Linked DNA regions of Caenorhabditis elegans. The protein of the gene in region 1 purifies or fractionates together with the protein of each later gene. This does not show direct contact. Each region holds a gene or a part of one and is shown on either strand. Other genes may lie near its edges.

Region 1 (3,758 bases):
CAGCAACTGAGATCAGTATGAAGATAAACATAGAATATTTCATGTTGTTTGAGAATAAAATAAAATAAAATCCTATCGAATCATATTGTGGTCAGCATATATATATAGCAAAGAATTTAATCAAGGGAAGATAAACACAAATGGGAAAATAAACAAAACAAATTGAATTCTGTAAGAAAGATTTCCAAATTGATAAGTGAGTTATTGAGAAGTAAGCTTCCGACGACCTCCGTCTAAAATAGCAGAATGATTATATTTCTCAAGTTAAAAAATATTAATTTCAGAAACGAAACCTTCGGTCCAGGTGTCACCCATTGTGGATCTCACGAGAATCAGGGTCAATAGAGGATCATAATCTTAGACCTTTCTTGTAACTTTTTTGTTTATTGTGCAAAAACTTCATCTATTTATAAATACTGTTTGATAAGGACTACGTAATTTTCCAATTTTGTCTTCAATAAATCACCTGCTTCTGCAAAACGTTATGTTTCATTTAGCGGCACATTTCAATTGAAAAGTCATGCATATCTCGTATTTCTCAAAAAAAATGGAAAATTCATATCTGTCAATAATCTGAGAATATGCAATACATACAGATTTATACAGATTTAGGCATATGAAGCAAGTTCTCGAAAAATTGTTCTTTTTTTTGCTTTTAAAAATTACAAATTGAGAAATTCACGCTGATAAACTAAATCTTGCACTTTCTTATACTTTTAGAATTTCTAGAAAGTTTTCTGACCAACAAGTCTTGCTCACTTTAAATTATATAGCACTCTCAGGCAAGCGTCCCCCATATAATATTTTATTGGGCGCCAGTGAGTTTCACTTTCCGGTTTTTTCTAGTCCTAGTGGGCAACCGGAAATGTTGACATCGTTTTGAAAATAAAAAGCCAAGAAAATTTTCATGTTCAAAGTGTTATCAAGAAAAAGTAAAAAAAGTTAATCAACTGTTTAAAATTTCAGCTGATCATAAAAGTTATATCATGAGTTCTCTTATCAATTCTGCTCTACTTCATTTCCGCCCATTGAGCACGGCATTTAAATACCGTAACGCTTGCAATACCACCAGAAAGCCTCTCTAAATTTCTATTTGCATAAATCCAAATATTTCCAGATCATAATGAGTGACGATGACCCGCGAAGATTCTGTCTGAGATGTATGGGAGAGTGTACTGATAATGACTGTCAATATCATCCTGAAGTCATCAGAATCAATCAACAACGAGAACAAGGTTTGTTTTTTCCCTTTTATCAAAGAGCGCCTGCTCAAGTTTTTTTGTAAAATGATTTTCGTTTAGGGACAAGTTTAAATACAGATTTTGTCACTGGGGAGACCGTCGAATTTTAAATCGCACTTGCTTTTTTTTCAATTTCAAAATTTACAGAACCTCCATATAGATTTCACGATCCGGAACTTCAATACGTAGTGCACGCATGCGATCCCCGTGTGATTGCTTATGCTGCTAGAAACCTGGAAGAATCGGATGAGGATGACTGAATGAAACCCTACACAAAGCGATCATTTTTTGTTGAAAAACAATTTTATGTAATAAATTTTTTAAATACATTTTTTGACTTTTGAGGATGATAGAAATAAAAACGAATTCATAATTATGACAGGCGGTTTTCTTGTTCTACATACTTGTAGTCGCAGCGGCCGAAAATTTATTTTCATTGAATAATAACCTACTTATGTTGTATATATTGGCCGTTTGTTAAGAGGTACATTTCCAAATGCAAACTTTTAAGTTCTCAAGAATAGAAAGTTATTATAATTTTAAGAAAGGTTAAAACAACTCAATTGTCTTTTTCGTTTGCTCAAAAAGTATAATTTTGCAGCGCCGTGTTTTCCGCGAAAATCTGAATTACATATAAGTATTTGTTCAAACTTTTCAATTACTTTACTCATTGGAACTATTTTTAGTGCTTTTCAACTTCAAAAAACACAAAGTTACGTAGAAATTCCAATCTTTCAGCGTAGTAACCTTAAAAATAAACACCTGCCCTGCCTGTTATTCGAACTTTTGTTACCCCGACCTCATTTCTCCAATGATCTCGTGTGAAAGTCACTACCTAGCCAGTCCTGGTTTTCTAAAATTAGCGTTTCATATAATAACAGCCGTGGCAACTCCAATACATGCATTTGGATTTTATTGTATTGTCTGTAAGACGCCAGTTCATATGAAGTCCGTCAAATGGTTGTTATTCAACTTACATTGTTGGTGCATTTTTCTTGATATTACTATCAGTTTTCTGGGTATTCCTTATATTTTGCTACCTGCTATGGCAGGCTATGGACTAGGTCCTGTTGAGTCTCCGGGCTTATTTTTCTATCTAGGAGTCACTTTTATCACCGGTAAGAGGAGCTAATTGTGGCTGAAAAGCCGATAGGAAAATATGTTTCTATTTAATAGTTTTTTTAATGGTCTTTGGTGAAGTTTCTAAAATTTTGAAATAATTTGAACAATATTGATGACTGGTTTTAAATGCTGGGGTTCTCTTATGATCTTTCACATAAGCATATTCCCAATATTTTTTGAACATTAAACCAAACGCCATTTTTTCAGCCGCCTGATTTTAACACGCACGTTAACAAAAATAATTATTCTTCAATCTACGACTATTTGAACACAAAAACAATTTTTTATCAATAAAATTCAAATTTACTAGAAGTTTTCAGTTTCTAGATAATTGTATTAAAACCAAGCTTTCAGGCGTCACCACGGCAGTATTTGTAACTTTTGAGAACAGATTCCATATATTATTTGGTCAAAACTCCAAGTGGAGGCATTTCCGAAAGTATGCAATCGTTTTCAGCTATATTATTGTGCCTCTGTACTACTTGCCAATTCAATTTCTAATTCCTGAGCAAGTAACGGGACGGGAACTTTCTTGGGCGGTAAGTTTCATTTTTCAAAATATGGTTCCAATTATTTGTCATTGAAGATGCTCAGTTGCATCCCGGAGCTTCCTGATGATGGCCGGGAACTGTTCGTTTTTGCAACTGAACTTATTGGTCCAGCAATCACAATGATTGTTTCTGAAAGTGTTCCAAGTATTCAGTGTGGAACATTTTTGACTCTTAATATTTATAATTTGATATTTGCGAGACCCAGTGGCATTTCAAAAAAGACAGTTCAAATGCAACATAGGCTGGTGGTCGCCTTGATTATACAGGTTCGCATGAGTTTTTATGATGACTTCCAAAATAAGAATAAATTCAGACATCCTTTACACTATTTCTTTTCGTGGTCCCTGTCAATGTTCTCATTGCATTTGTATACTTTGACTATCAGAATCAGTTTCATAGCAATTTGATATTTTTTGCTCTTGCAATTCACGGTATTGCTTCCACACTTATTATGGTGTTCGCCCATAAACCATATCGAGACTTTGCCTTTTCTCCGTTCGAACGATTTTTCATAGATCACACAACTGTAGATGTGCTCCCCGTGTTTTCGACATCAAGGACTCACTAACAAATCACGAGTCTTCAAAAGTGGTTAAAACTTATTCGGGAAATCATTAGTGGAAAATTTTAAAGCGAAGATTCCAGTTTGAATAAATGTTTTTCAAAATCTCATTTTTCGAGTGGAATAAAAATATGTTAGGAGTTCCCAGAATCGTATGATTTTTTTGCCCTTTTAAGTTCTAAATGCCACCGATTCAATACAACAATTGCATGTGTAAACTTGGCAAAATGTAGAAATTTTGCAGAATTTTCTTTTAAAAATTATATAATATTTTCTTTAAAT
Region 2 (3,758 bases), on another chromosome or scaffold:
AAAAATAGAAAATGATGTTGCGAAATGAAAAGACACGACAGGTACAATTCATTCTTTTCATATATATATCTCTATTTGTCCATCGCTTGCCTCTCGTTTTTTTGTAAAATGTGGACATCATCAAATTAGTGCGGTTGAAGTGTGTTGCGACAATTTGTTTTTTTGCAAGTCCTCTGCTAACCTTTCTTTTGACGGTTTGGGTGTGGTTCGGCTTCATCTGGGGATCCGGAAATGACACCCTAGGTGTTGATCGGACCAGTAGTTGGTCTGGAAAAGATTGAGCAGATTTTTTTTTGATTTTGCTTCACATTTTTTCATAAATACTTGTGCATTTTTTGGACTAAAAATAATTTTTAGCGAGGTGGGATATCGATTCCAACTTTTCGTTCAGCTTCAATTTATTATTTTTATTTTCTCTTATTTTTCGCTTCAAATTATATAGCTTTTCGAACGAATTACCACGAAATTCATTAATTTCACTACTTTTATTCAAACTTTTTAAGTTTTTGTAACGAAATAAATTCATTATTCAGTTATTTTATATTTTTAATAGAAATTTTAATCTGAATTATCTTTTAAACAATAATTTTCGAAGAAAAACTGATTTTACACCAATGTTGCTTCGATTTTAATATTTAAATGCGAGAGAGTACACAAACGAGAGAGGTGAGAGGCATGTCACTGTCAAAGGCGCGTCGATTTACACAACTGGGTCTCGCAGCGCCGCACAACCGTAGTGCAGCGGCGGCACTATTTCTTCGATTTTATATGCAATCCCAAAAAGTTTTTTATTTTTCTGCTTTGTTCTTGACGGTTTTTCTTCGATTTTGCTGATTTTTTTGACAAATTTAATCGATTAGTGCAATAATTCAGTTAGATGACCGTATAATTTAGTATTCCAGCACATAATTTCTTGTAAAAAATAAATTCTCCTATTTTCTAACGAAAAATTGTAATTCCGTTTTTCCAACTACGGCAAAAATGTTTCATTCTTATTGTTTATCAACTCGTTTCATTACATGATTTTCCTTCTCATATGAATTGTCTTTACAGGTAAAATGCCCCCAAAGAAGGACCCTAAGGGAGGCAAGGCTCCCCCATCCAAAAAGAAGGAGGGATCTGGAGGTGGAAAGGCCAAGAAGAAGAAGTGGTCGAAGGGAAAGGTCAGGGATAAGCTTAACAACATGGTGCTTTTCGACCAGGCCACCTACGACAAGCTCTACAAGGAGGTTAGTAATTTTAAATTTTTGCTGTCTGGAAAAATTTCAAGATTCTGAAATTAGGAATCACAAAGTAGCAAACAACGATTTGAAAGAACAAATTGCAATGTTAATACTTTCAGGTCATCACCTACAAGCTCATCACACCATCCGTCGTCTCTGAACGTCTGAAGGTTCGTGCTTCATTGGCCAAGGCTGGACTCAAGGAGCTCCAAGCCAAGGGACTCGTCAAGTGCGTCGTTCATCATCACGGACAGGTCGTGTACACCCGTGCCACCAAGGAGGCTGACGTTATCGTCGAATAACTTGTTGATTTATTTGATGTTTCATAAATGTCAAAACGTTTATATCTTGTGTTTTTGTCGAATTCATTACAGGACTTACATGATCACTAAAGTAGGAAACTCATTCAAATCTTATAAGCATCCTTGCCTGTTGAATATGGTTAGGGAGACATTTTCAGAATTTTTCAGCTCGAGTTCGGATGAAGCTCGGTTGCAGTGACAACGTCGTTTCGATGACTGTTTTCACGTATAAGATTGAACTCGCTCTTCGCGGTTTTTGCGATGTCTGATGCTTTCTGAAATCGTGTTGGTAAGATTTTTCGGTCGGGCTCCATTTTCGCGATTCCCGGACCATCCAAAAACGCAAAACATTGGAGAAAGATGCGGTCTCTGCGTCTCCATTGTTGTACGGGCATCGGTGACCGCCTTTTTCTCTAGTGTCTCTTTGTCAACTGTCTCTCGTATGACATCGTGCATTCAGAACTCAATCACAAGGCTTCCAAGTTCTCACATTCTCTCCCGAGATGTTCGTTTTTCGTGTCTTAAACACTGTTCCATATACAAATCGGACTGGAGCAAAGGATCTTGTCGCCAGCATACACTCATTCCTCACATCGAATTTGCTCGTTGGATTGGCCGTTCTAATTTCATGGAAACAGTTTGGTGGAACTCCAATTGAATGTATGGTTCCATTGGACTTCACAAGTGCTTGGGTTCAATATTCGAATAATTACTGTTGGGCTCAACCAACATATTTCATCCCATTCACAGAAGAACTCGTGGAGCAAGTTGTCGATCCAGCTGATGTTGTAGCAGATGGAATAACAATTGGAAACGGTGGAAATCGACCGAGATTTGTCAAAAAAGGCGGCGAAAAAATATCCTATTATCAATGGATGTCATTTTTTCTACTTTTCGAAGCCGCATGTTTCCGATTGCCTTGTTTCATTTGGAAATATTTTGCCAGTCAAAGTGGAATGCAAGTCGGTGAGATTCTTCGAGTAGCTTCAGATGAGAATAATGCTGTTCCACTTGTCAAAAAAGCGAATATCGATGCATTGTGCATTCATTTACGAGGAGTTTTGCGATTCCAAAAAAGACTGAAATTGGTAGGCAATTCTAAATGACCGATAATCATCTAAATACACTTTTTTGCAGAAAAAGATAGTTCCACACAAGATTCTGCGTTTTCTGAACATCAAGTATTCCGCATACTACGTCACTTTCATCTATTTTGTTGCAAAAGTTGCATTTTTGCTCAATGTCATCTTACAATCGAAGTTGTTGAACAAGTAAGCATGACCGCGCCTTTAAATCAATAAAATGCCTCGTGACGCGAGAAAATGGAATTGATATGGAATTCTGGACTTTGAAAGGAAAAAGTTACGGAAATATCGTAAACTTTTAGCTCAATTCCGCCAATTCATCCGATAATAAAATCAGCTTCGAAATCCTGCTTTTTCCGCCAGAAATACCACACCCGGTCTCGACACGACGAATAAATGTTGAATGCGAACAGGTGTGCGCCTTTAAAGAGTACTGTAATTTTAAACTTCGTTGCTGGGGAATTTGAATCGATTTTTCATAAATTTTTTAATAAAAATATACTTATTTATTGAAAGACAAAATAGAATTGACTTATAGAATTTAACAAATCCTGAGAAAAACAATGGAAAATCATGAAAATTCGAAAATACAGTACTCTTTAAAGATGCTCACACGTTTGTATTTGAATTAAATTGTCGTTTCAAGACCGGGTACAGTATTTTTAGTGCAAAATTCACAAAAGTTCGCATCTCGCTATTAGCCATTCATTAAAATATATCGATTTCCAGATACATGCTCCCACATGATCGTCAACAAAACTTTGGCTTCGATATGTGGAAAACCATTTTCTATGGAAGTACGAATGGAAATGAGACATGGCGAGAGAACGGGGTGTTTCCACGTGTAACACTCTGTGATTTTGAAACTCGGGACATGGGAAATGTGCAGATGCATACTGTACAGTGTGTGCTGCTCTTGAATCTGTTCACCGAGAAGATTTTCGTATTTTTATGGGCCTGGTAAATAAGGCTGGAAGTTTGTGTAATTAATTGAAATCGTCTTACAGGTACATCTTGCTCACTGCCTTCACCGTTGGAAATCTGTTCTCTTGGTTGTTTGCAGTTTTCAATGAGACTTACAATGAGCATTTCATATTGAATCATCTGGAAATGTGTGAAACTCCATTTGATAAGGATGATTTGAGTAA

What was found. The genes of interacting proteins can lie anywhere in the genome.
Region 2: the proteins of srh-239 (region 1) and inx-7 fractionate together in Caenorhabditis elegans (co-fractionation; one large-scale study listed by BioGRID). This does not show direct contact.

The regions. Positions count from the first base shown.
Region 1 is NC_003283.11:15,443,801-15,447,558, forward strand, and holds srh-239 (Serpentine Receptor, class H), read left to right. Parts: upstream 1-1,936; 5' UTR 1,937-2,052; coding exon 2,053-2,359; intron 2,360-2,717; coding exon 2,718-2,902; intron 2,903-2,949; coding exon 2,950-3,180; intron 3,181-3,227; coding exon 3,228-3,482; 3' UTR 3,483-3,581; downstream 3,582-3,758. Other genes in the region: T26H5.9 (HNH endonuclease), read left to right, coding at 1,124-1,235, 1,389-1,501.
Region 2 is NC_003282.8:5,944,901-5,948,658, reverse strand, and holds the start of inx-7 (Innexin-7), read left to right. Parts: upstream 1-2,020; 5' UTR 2,021-2,028; coding exon 2,029-2,613; intron 2,614-2,662; coding exon 2,663-2,796; intron 2,797-3,339; coding exon 3,340-3,570; intron 3,571-3,617; coding exon 3,618-3,754; intron 3,755-3,758. Other genes in the region: rps-25 (Small ribosomal subunit protein eS25), read left to right, coding at 1,059-1,229, 1,343-1,525. UniProt on the Caenorhabditis elegans protein: Structural component of the gap junctions.